Callithrix jacchus: one gene and its partners. The protein of the gene in region 1 purifies or fractionates together with the protein of each later gene. This does not show direct contact. Links are inferred from orthologs where the notes say so. Each region holds a gene or a part of one and is shown on either strand. Other genes may lie near its edges.

What was found. Proteins that work in one complex are often made in the same cells at the same time.
Region 2: the proteins of PTGES3 (region 1) and SMYD2 purify together in Homo sapiens (affinity purification with mass spectrometry; 3 studies listed by BioGRID and IntAct, with this or other methods). This does not show direct contact. The link is inferred for Callithrix jacchus from reciprocal best matches to the Homo sapiens genes PTGES3 and SMYD2.
Region 3: the proteins of PTGES3 (region 1) and FKBP4 purify together in Homo sapiens (affinity purification with mass spectrometry; 3 studies listed by BioGRID and IntAct, with this or other methods). This does not show direct contact. The link is inferred for Callithrix jacchus from reciprocal best matches to the Homo sapiens genes PTGES3 and FKBP4.

Annotation. Positions count from the first base shown.
Region 1 is NC_133510.1:62,968,862-62,972,952, reverse strand, and holds the start of PTGES3 (prostaglandin E synthase 3), read right to left. Parts: upstream 2,828-4,091; 5' UTR 2,533-2,827; coding exon of another isoform or gene 2,531-2,532; 5' UTR 1,802-2,530; coding exon 1,788-1,801; intron 1-1,787. UniProt on the Homo sapiens protein: Cytosolic prostaglandin synthase that catalyzes the oxidoreduction of prostaglandin endoperoxide H2 (PGH2) to prostaglandin E2 (PGE2).
Region 2 is NC_133520.1:14,837,038-14,840,618, reverse strand, and holds part of SMYD2 (N-lysine methyltransferase SMYD2), read left to right. Parts: intron 1-1,578; exon of another isoform or gene 1,579-1,794; coding exon 1,795-1,897; exon of another isoform or gene 1,898-3,581. UniProt on the Homo sapiens protein: Protein-lysine N-methyltransferase that methylates both histones and non-histone proteins, including p53/TP53 and RB1. Specifically trimethylates histone H3 'Lys-4' (H3K4me3) in vivo. The activity requires interaction with HSP90alpha.
Region 3 is NC_133510.1:16,117,004-16,120,584, reverse strand, and holds the end of FKBP4 (peptidyl-prolyl cis-trans isomerase FKBP4), read right to left. Parts: intron 1,203-3,581; coding exon 1,095-1,202; 3' UTR 405-1,094; downstream 1-404. UniProt on the Homo sapiens protein: Immunophilin protein with PPIase and co-chaperone activities. Component of steroid receptors heterocomplexes through interaction with heat-shock protein 90 (HSP90).

The sequences.
Region 1 (4,091 bases):
TTTTTTAAACTACAAGACAAACTTTCATAACTTAGGATGTAAAGAAATGTAACTAGGAAATCGCTAAAGAGCAAATGAGTAAATCAACTGAGAAAACACTCTCCCAAGCCCTTAATGCACCCAGCATAATCTCTCTCCAGATCTTTAAAGAAAAAAAAAAGGTTTTATTAGCCAGGCATGGTGGTGCTTGCCTGCAGTCCTAGCTACTCAGGAGACTGAGGCAAGGAGGATTGCTTGAGCTCGGGAGGTGAAGTGGAGGTTGCTGTGAGCTGAGATCACGCCACTGCACTCTAGGCTGGGCGATAGAGAAAGACCCTGACTCAAAATAAATAAATAAATAAATAAACCCGCATCAGCCAGATTCTTCCTAGGACTGGATGACGACCCAGTAAAGGATTCTTCCACCTCAAACAACCGACTTACAACATTCATTTTGTAATTTCACTTAAATCTTTAACTTGGTAAGAGTCCCTGAAGAATATACCAAATGACACATACTGAATATTTTTAAAAGGATGAAATTAGCTGGTCTCTTTCAAAACATTCATCTTTTCCCTCAACACCCTGCATGTGGCATCGGATCACTTGTTTTGAAAGTAGCTTTTTTTTTTTTTTTTTAACCAGAGAGGCTACTTTTTGGAATAGCCTCTCTACTGCTACATTTTGAGACGGAGTCTCCCTCTATCGTCCAGGATGGAGTGCAATGGCTCAATAATCTTGGCTCACTGCAACCTCCACCTCCAGAGTTAAGGCGATTCTCCTGCCTGAGCCGCCAGACCAGCCGGGATTACAGGTGAGCACCACCATGCCCGACTAGTTTTTGTATTTTTAGTAGAGACGGGGTTTCACAGTATTGACGAGGCTGGTCTCGAACTCCTGATCCCACCGCCTGACCCTCCCAAAGTGCAGGACAGGTGTGAGCCACTGCACCCTGACTTACATTGACTTTTCTTTCAAGTTTTAAAATCTACTTAACTTAGCCATTTCTTACCTATTTAAATATCTTACGTGGCCTCCAGAAAGTGCTCCTACCTCAAGCCAATTTTAAACGTATTTTTCGCGAAAAGATACGTTCAGCTGTATTAAAAGTTGCTAACACCTCATCTGACAATTTTCCCCTTACAGGTTTTCAGAGTATAAAAGGTTAAGACTGAAGTCCCTTTTACATTACCTAGAAGGAAAAGCAAAAACTACTTTACATAGATTCGAATTTGTAAAAACCCCGTTTACGTACCACTTTCAGGGAGGGGGCTCCTCCAAAATTCTAATTTACGCCCTTACAGTAATACACGCTGTGCTCTAGAAGCTTGTTCTCAGCGACAAACTGGCTTCAGTGTACCCCTCACTCATCCCTTTAGACTTTTAGCCAATATATTCACTGTCAGTATCATGGCTTGAATTAAGTAAACCCTTGAATGTTTGTTACTTTTCCGCAGGAATAAAGTTACTCCCCTCATCTCTCCTAAATGGAGTGTGGGCGGGGGAACGCTCCCCTTCAATTGTTCTCAGTATCTTTTAAGACTTAGCTAATAACTTAAAAAATAACGTCCCGTCAAAAAAAAAAAACAAAACCAAACCCTGTAAAACCAGGAGCCCTCACTGGATGTGGCAGTGCCATGAATTCTTATTCGGTTAAAATCAATTAAGGCTTTCCTTTACCATAAAACGAAGATTGCTATAGAACTTGTATTCACCTACACACCATCAAATTTAAGCTTTTTAGGACAACAGTAAGTTAATTACATATCTACTTCATCCTACACTGAGGCAGGATAGTGAAACCTCACCTAAAGTTTAACATGGAACACTGAAAATGTCCGTAGGTATTCTTCCAAAGTCGACACGTGCCCAACTACCTGCTCAACGGTAACTCCTCACTGCCAGGGAAGCGGCTGAGCTCCGGCAACCTCCCGTGTTTTGAACAGACTGGGAGTTAGGAGGCGGCCTAGAAGTACCCACACTCAAGAAACCCAGACACAGGAGAGGGAAGTAAGTTGCGGCGTGGGCATGGCTTCCCTCCAGTTACCTAGCAGTACCATGCAGCTCACGGCGAGGTCCGCGTGGGGCTCTCCCAGGAGCTCCGCCAGGTACCTGGCGACACCCACTACAGGTGCGCTCGGCCCAGGGCCTGGCCCCGGGACCACGGAGCAGAACTGGAGCGCCCAGGCGGCCGAGAAGCGACCCGCGGGGGTTCACGCTTCAGGGCGCCGCATGGCGAGCAGCTACCAGGAGCTCAAGGCCTAGGGTGAAGTTACAGAAAGCGAGTCGGCCAGACGGCCAAAGGGGGAAAAGTAGCATTTCCGGCACGGGGAAGCGGAGATCTGGAGGAAAATGTCCTCCACTCGCCAACGGTAACCGGAACAAGGATACTAGATCTCCCGCCCCCAGGCAGGCACAACTGCCACCACCGATGCGAGAAAGACTGGGGGGGCCGAAAGTGGAGGGAGGGCCGCGGCCGCATTCCCGGAGCCCCCGACGCGGCCTTGGCCTCACTCCGGGCGACCTTCCCTCGGCGGGGTGTCGCACTCACATTGTGAACGGGGCAGGGGGACGGGCGAACGGGTGGGCGGGCCTCTCTGGCGGCGGCTGCTGCTAAGGAGTCGACTTCTCTCCGCTGGCGACTCCGCGTTTTCTCCCCGGTCGCGGCCTCTTCTCGCTTCCCTCAGGCGACGGCGACAGCGGCGGGCTCGACCTAGCTCCCCAGAATGCACCGCGCGGAAAGAGCGGCTCCTCCGGTCGGGGAGAAGAGGAAAGTGTAGGAAAACGGGCGCGAGGACGGAGAATGAACGTGCGTGCGTGCGAACGAGGGGTGGTGAGGCCGGGCGGCGGCTGGTGACGCAGCAAAATGCCCGGGCCTTGCCACCGCGCGTGCGCAGTCCTTGTTTTCGGGCTCCGGCGCGGCTTTCTAGAGATATCTACGGAAAGGGCGGGGCCTCCCAGCTCCTTCGCGATCCTTCCTGGCGCCGGCCCCGCCCTTCGTCCGCCACCCTACCCCCACCCCGGCCCCCGCTAGTCCTTACGCGTTCCCGCCTCTCCTCCCGCGGTGTCCTCTCGCGTTAGAAAACCGTTGGCCGCCCAACCGCCCGGCCACGCTCTTTGGGCGATTTCTCTGAGAAACCGCTGCGTTGGCAGCGGGAGGAAAGGCCGAGGCGGAGGGACGCGGAGTCGGGATCGTGGAGAATTGAAATGGAGCGTTGGTTACTCTTGAGGGAGTAAATCAGCTCACGCAGGAAACATTCCACCACAAAAACGTGAAAAGCCTGTGCTGTGGAAAAGGGCTCACTTCACCATTTTTCTGAAGGTTGGAGGCTCTGTCCAGGGACAGCGGACATTCGAGGTTCTTGGCGGAGGAGGAGCGTTTGCCATTCGGGGCTGGCTTTTGCCCCTGTCTTGAGACCTTAGTACTGTAGATGAGCCACGAAGGATATTTGAGGGGAGAGTCTAGGTTTCTGGAATGGAGAGGCTAAGACACTTTGTGTCTCCATGCACATTATTTGGGGAAGAAGGGATTCCCCGTCGCTTCCTACAACACACTACTAGGGTGTAGTAGGGCATAGTAACCGAGAGACCCAACACAGCCCTGCTCACCAAGAGGCTACTTAATGGTGGAGTAGGGGAGAAATACTCCAGTGCACTGCATTTTGAACAGGAAGGAGGTTTAAGGAAAGTGCTATATTTCTGAAGAATGAGGTTTCATAATAAGCATTAAGGTGCTTAGTGTCTGCTGTACAAGGCAGATTATTGGGGAGCTACGAAACGTGGATCCTAGCTCAGATACCGTTAAAGAGGGAAATTGGGCTGGTGCAGTGGCTCACGCCTATAATCCCAGCACTTTGCGAAGCCAAGGAGGGTGGTTCCCTAGGTCACGAGTTCGAGACCAGCCTGACCAACATAGTGAAACCCCATCTCTACAAAAATACTAATTAGCCAGGCATGGTGGCATGCGCTTGTAATGCCAAAAACTAGGGAGTATGAGGTGGGAGGATAGCTCGAACCCGGGAGGCGGAGGCTGCAGTGAGCACAGATCATGCCATTGTACTCCAACCTGGGCGACAGAGTGAAAGCCTGTCTCAAAACGAAGCTGGGCGCGG
Region 2 (3,581 bases), on another chromosome or scaffold:
AGAAGAAAAAGAGGGTATTGGACTCACTGAAGAAGGTGTGTATTGACACCTTTAAAACTGAAATGAACTATGGAACATCTCTGTTCTCAATATCTTAAAGACCAAAAGATTAAGAGTGAGGTGCTCCCAGGCACAGTGGTTCACGCCTCTAATCTCAGCACTTTGGCAGGCCAAGGCGGGTGGATCACGAAGTCAGGAGTTCAAGACCAGCCTGACCAACATGGTGAAACCCTGTCTCTACTAAGTAAAGTACAAAGATTAGCTGGGCATGATGGCATGCACCTGTAATCCCAGCTACTCAGGAGGCTGAGACAGGAGAATCGCTTGAACCCAGGAGGCAGAGGTTGCAGTGAGCCGAGCAATGAACCGAGATCACACCACTGCACTCCAACCTGGGCTCTCCATAAAAAAAAAAAAAAAAAATGAAGTACTTTGAGGATTCACACCTTTCAGTGGTTGCCAGGAGAATTGTGATACCTGGAATATGAGTTGTTTCAGGGTCTTTGCCTTCATACATTTCCCCCGCCTTCATTCATTTCCCCCGCCTTCATTAAAAAGATACCAGGTCTGTCTTGAACTATTTAATAGTTCTGCAAGGTGGTTTTAGAAATGTGCTTTTATTTTAAAACAACTACTCGTTCGATGCATTTGTTTATCAGGTTTTCTAGAGCCGGATTCCTTGGGCATCACCTTCCAGGAAGCCAGGTGGGCCTTGGTGTAGAGCAGAGGTGGCTCTCCCCAAGGTCAGGACCAGGAAGGTGCTACATGTTTGTCCCAGGCACCAGGCCAACCACACACTTTGCTTAGGCCTTTAGCAACCGGAGGTGGGGGAGTGCACTTGGCCATGGCCAGCCTGGGGCAGCTCAACCTCATCAGGCTTCGAAACCCCTTTCCCTTTCTGTATTCTCGGAGCAAGCAGGAGAGGGGGCTGTGTCTCTGAAGGGTCAGGGAGGTGACATTGGCCACCAGAGCAATGACACACATGGCTGTGAGTGCCCATAGGAGCATGAGCCCCAGTTTCTGGGCAGTTTTAATTGGGGGAAAAAAATCCCTTTGGGCTGAAATCATATCGGCATTGTGATTTCAAAGGCGGCATTTTCAGAGATCAAGCACTTTTTCCCTGTAGTTTAGAAATTTCTGTTCTCAGAACTTTGACCTTGATATAATCAGAAAGCTCAAAGCACCTCGCATAGCGAATCTCTCTCTCCTTCTCGCTGTCCCTGAAAAGCAGACAGTGAGCAGCAGGAGCAGTAATGTCCCAATTTTCCAGATGAGGAAATTGAGGTGCAGAGAAACTCAGATGGGTGTCTCCAGGTCTCTCGGGGGATCACACACCCTTCCCTCCTTAGGAAGCTGGCATTTCTCAACATCTGAAAAAAACATATGAGAAATAATCCACTAATACAAAAAGCTGCTTGAAAACGACAATGCCTCAGTCTTTGACAGTGTGTAGTGGAGTAGCAATTAGCTGTGGGTATTGGGTTCGGAGCGCCGCATTCTATTAGGAAGGAATATTTGTGGCATTTGTTGTTTTTGTTGTTGTGTGTTTTTTGGTTTTGGCTTAGATACTACATGAATTGTGAATTTCAGTTTTTAATATGGTGAAAGTCTTAGATGGTAGATAGGATTATCAATGCATGCAGAACAACTTCTTAGAATAGGATAGCCAACTAGCAGATTTTTTAACAATGTCTTGTAAAGATTCAGTTCCTTTGACTTAGCAAGTAAGTAGTCAAAGACTAAACAGCCTCCCCGTCTCATTTTAAAAACTGGGTTTTCTCTTCCGATTGACAGTGTTGCATTGATGAATCATAGCTGTTGCCCCAATGTCATTGTGACTTACAAAGGGACCCTGGCAGAAGTCAGAGCTGTACAGGAAATCAGCCCAGGAGAGGAGGTGAGTTCATGGCCATGGGTGGCCGCAGCAGGGGGCTGGAGACTGCTCTTTTAAAAGGCAATATGGACAGATCCATGCATTTGAAGTATGAGCTGTGAATGCTTCCAGCAGTTCAGCCAAGTCCGTCCTCAGGCTCCCCCTGAGTCAGTGATCAGATTTGTGACCTGTAGCTTAGATTCCCACACTTTGGGGCTTCTGTTTCGTGTTTACCTTTTACATCAGTGGTTAAGAAAAACAAAAAATAATCAATTTGAGTTAAATTCCTCACAAAGCTTTATGGAGAGTTACAGAGAAAGAAGACTTTGACTATCAAAATGACCACAGTGAAACTTGATTTTCTTTAGAGTCTCTCTAACCCTGTTGCCAAACAATGGAGTTTGAGCCTTATTAATTTTTGGTGAATTCTTGCTTGTTGCCCACCATCCCCCCAAGGTCCGAAGTGAAAGAAAGCAAGTGACACAGCAGTAGCTAAAGAACTGGCCCTGCAAGTGACACAGCAGCATTTTGTGCTCTGTCAGTTCCACATGTGAACTTCAGGTCGTAGTTCCCTTTTTAGGAACGTGATTCAAATGCCCAGGTATATATGCAGTCATGTGCTCTGTCAGTTCCACATGTGAACTTCGGGTCGTAGTTCCCTTTTTAGGAACGTGATTCAAATGCCCAGGTATACATGCAGTCATAGGAGAAATCAAGGCAGTCTGTGAGGCACACTGGCTTCCCTCCTCAGCTTTGGGATGTGGAGAGAACCAGCCAGCTGTCCCGTCACCTGCTCAACGATTCCCTGTCCCCCTCCCATGTGTGATTCCTGACTACCTCATGGGACATCTCACCTGGGGGAGGAGGGCTGGCCTGCTGGATCGCTGTAGTATGCTCTGTTCTTAAGTCAGTCTCCAGCAAGACAGGATTTCTTGGGCACTTGTAATCACACACTTAGGTTAAATTTCAGTTTAGCAATTTGTAATGCTATTTTACGGTGCACATCTGGTATAAGTGTGAAGTGTGACTGTCAGTGTGCTGAGTGAGAAGTGCTTTGCTTTCTCTGGAAGGCGCTCACTCATCCACAGGGGTACTGGGAGCTGAGGCCCAAGGCGCAGGTTGGCCCTTCCACCCTCAGCTAAATCCATTGTCATGAGGGTGTGTCCCTTTCGGCTGGGGTGTCTTGAGTTTCTGAATGTCTTGTGGAGACTGCCCTGAAGGCTTTCTTGAAACAGATCGTTGCAACCAGCCAGAACGTAATCACCCGGCTCCAGCCCGCCTGTGGACTGACTGCAGAGATGAGCAGGTTGTCACCTAGGCTGGCTCAGTCTGACCGTGAGCAGTGGTACTGGAGTGGCCTTTGTCGCCATCTTCTGGAACCTTCCGTGTGTTGCACTGCGTGTCAGTTATTTCAGAGATAATGGGGCACTCTTGCCGTGTGAGGCAGGGCAGGGCTGGCTGCGGTTTCCTTTTGCCCTCATGTTCTCCCAGATCTCAAACACAGTGACTTCATTTTTGTGAAGTCAGTGCTTTGGGGGTTACTTACCCTTAAGAGGAGAAACTCCATTCTCCAGGGTTTCAGGGAGACCTGCAACATGTCCAGAACTGCCCTGTGGGCTGGGGAGAGCTTGGCTGCCCCTGCGGCACCCAGCCCCATGCGTGTCCTCCCCTGCCTGCTTGGCGGTGCCCGCGGTCACTGGCACGCTGG
Region 3 (3,581 bases), about 47 Mb from region 1:
GTAGGCAGAAGACCAATGCTAACTTCAAAACGAACATGCATGTGACCCAGTCTTCTAGATGTTTAGACTTTCCTCTTCCTAAGTGGCAGGGAAAACCAGACGCACTAAAAACTACCAGGTTGCTGGAGGGGAGTGCTGGGAACCTAGGGTGAGGGTGTAGGCCTAAGTCTCACTGCAGCCTGTGCGGTGCTCGGGAAGCCCTGCGTCGTAGGTCTGCAGCCTGTGCGGTGCTCGGGAAGCCCTGCATGGTAGGTCTGCTTCCTGCCCACTATGGCATCATTATATGAGATACTGCATTTATTTAAGCTGAACTGGGATCAAGTGGGTGACCCCTTAATTTTGCCACTACCCATTATGTACCCACCCCTCCAAGGCTGAACAGAAAGGGTTGCCTGACACCCAGGTTTTATTGTTTCCACTTTATTGCTCAAGCACGGAACTTGAGGCAAGCCTGGACCTTCAGCAACGTGCAGAGAAGAGGCTGAGGGGATTTCAGGATACAACCTGGCTGAGAGGGGTGATTGACAAGGGGAAACACCAGAATGGGGGACGGGGGTGGTCACCATGACACCAGAAGACATCAGCCACACCGTCAGGGTGAGGAAGGGAACAGAGAGAAGAAATGGGCACAGCAGTGGTTTTTCCCATGTCCCTAGCACCCACATGGAGGCCACATTTGGAAATGGACTGGGAGAGGGAAAGGATGAGGAAAACGGCTGCCCAGGAGTCTCCCTTTCCACCCTGGGTTCATATCAGACCCCATCCCTACCACTTGCTTCTTCTACCCTTGGAAAATGGACCTAACAGAGGGAGCAAAATAAATTAACATTCTGATGAATATGTATGGATGGACATACATTCATGTGCAATGGGGGAAGGGAAGAGGGGGTGACACCTCCTGAAATGATTCCCCACCTCAATCCCCCAGACTCTTCTTTCCCCCCTCCCCGCTAAAGCCACCATCCAACCAGATAGAAAAATAAAGGTCTAATTCACTCAAAATTCTTCAGTTTTTACAAAACTAACAGGGTGGAGTGGGGAGACTGGGGTTGTGGGAGGCAGGCAGCCGCAGGAGTAGAGCTGGTGGAGGAGGGCTATGCTTCTGTCTCCACCTGAGACTGGCTCCCTGCCATGTTGCTCTTCTGCTCCTCCTTCATGTCTGTGTCAGTGGGACGGTCTCCTGAGGAAGCCTCTGCCTTGGCCTGGAAGGAAGAGGAACAGCAAAGAGCCTCACTTCCCAAGTGAAAAAATAACACACTTAATTTCTAGCAGAATTACAGACACACCAATTCTCCTGCATCTGCCCTAAAGATATACCTGTATAAGCCAGGCGTGGTGGCTTGCACCTGTAATCCCAGCACTTGGGGAGGGTGAGGTGGACAGACTACTTGAGCACAGAAGTTTGAGACCAGCCTGGACAACATGGTGAAACCTCATCTTGACAAAAATTATAAAAATTAGCTGGGCATGGTGGTGTGCACCTGTAGTCCCAGCTACTTGGGAGGCTGAGGCAAGAGGATCACTTGAGCCAGGGAGGCAGAGGTTGCAGTGAGCTGAGTGTACCACTGCACTCCAGCCTGGGTGACAGGGTGAGAGACACTGTCTCAAAAAAACACAAAACACTTGTATATGTACAAATTATGAACTCACAAGGTCATTCACTACAGTGCTGTTTAGAACAGCACTGTCCCATGTGGTAGCCACTACTGTAAGTGGCTAGTTCAAACTCATGTGTTTTTAGTGAAAAATATATATTGGATTTTGAAGATGGTCTGAAAAATATATAAATGCAACTAAAACTTAATTCCATCTGTTTTTCACCTTTTTAACGTGGTTACCAGAAAATTTTCAATTATGTGTGGTTAATACTGTGTTTCTACTGTACAGTGCTTGTTTAGAACCCTCTTTAAGACTGTCTGGGTGGCTGGGTGCAATGGTTTACGCCTGTAATCCCAGCACTTTGCGAGGCCAGGGTGGGCGGATCACAAGGTCAAAAGGTCGAGACCATCCTGGCCAACATGGTGAAATATGCGTCTACTAAAAATACAAAAAAAATTAGACAGGTGTTGTGGTGTGTGCCTGTAGTCCCAGCTACTCGGGAGGCTGAGGCAGGAGAATTGCCTGAAACCGGAAAACGGAAGTTGCCGTGAGCTGGGATCCCACCACTGCACTCCAGCCTGGCGAGAGAGGGAGACTGTGTTTCAAACAAACAAAAAGACTGCCCAGGCATGGCGGTTCACACCTGTAGTCCCACTACTTTGGGAGGCAGGGCCAGGCAGATCACTAAAGTCAGGAGTTCGAGACCAGCCTTATCTACATAGTGAAACCTCTTCTCTACTAAAAATACAAAATTCACTGGGTGTGGTGGCGTGCCTGTAATCCCAGTTACTCACGAGGCTGTGGCAGAGAATTGCTTGAACTCAGGAGGCAGAATCTGTAGTGAGCTGAGATCGCGTCACTGCACTTCCACCTGGGTGACGGAGCAAAACTCTGTCTTAGAAAAAAAAAAAAAAAGGGCCGGGCGCGGTGGCTCAAGCCTGTAATCCCAGCACTTTGGGAGGCTGAGGCGGGTGGATCAAGAGGTCAAGAGATCAAGACCATCTATCTGGTCAACATGGTGAAACCCCATCTCTACTAAAATATAAAAAATTAGCTGGGCATGGTGGCGTGTGCCTGTAATCCCAGTTAATCGGGAGGCTGAGGCAGGAGAATTGCCTGAACCCAGGAGGCGGAGATTGCAGTGAGCCGAGATCGCGCCATTGCACTCCAGCCTGGGTAACAAGAACAAAACTCCATCTTCAAAAAAAAAAAAAAAAAACACTGGAAGACTAAAAGGGCACTGATTAAATAAGATATGCCATATCCATACAATGGAATACTACTTAAGCCTAAGAATGTGAAAGCTCTTTAAATACTGATGTAAATAAGCTTCCAGATATATATATTTTTTATTTTTATTTTTTCAAGACGGGGTTTCACTATATTGGTCAGGCTAGTCTCAAACTCCTAACCTCAGCCTCCCAAAGTGCTGGGATTACAGGCGTGAGCCACCGTGCCTGGTGCTTCCAGATATTATTGTGAGAAAAAAGCACAGCCTGCCAAATCACAGGTAGAGCATGTTGCCTCTTGTTAGGGGAAAGGGAGAAAGCAACATGAATATTTGCCTGGGTATTAAGCAATACATTGGAACCATACAAGAACCAGAAGGGCTTCTGGCTGGGGAGGCAGACTTCTTACTGTGCATTCTTTGGTACAGTTTGAATTTAACTATGTAAATGTATTATCTATTTCAATACACACACAAAGCATCTAGCTCTTTTTTTCTTTTGAGACAGGGTGTCATTTTGTCACTCAGGCTGGAGTGCAGTGGTGCCATCGTTAAGTCACCAAGGTCTCTACCTACTGGGTTCAAGTAATCCTCCCACTTTGTCCCCGCAAAGTATTGGGAATGCAGGTATGAGCCACTGCACCTGGCCGACAAGAAAACATAAATCAGAGCAACCAACCCAGCTTCTAGGGCTTGTGGGTAGGTTTCCAGCACTGATCACAAAACGCTGGCCCCAATAGCAGGGAACGCATGC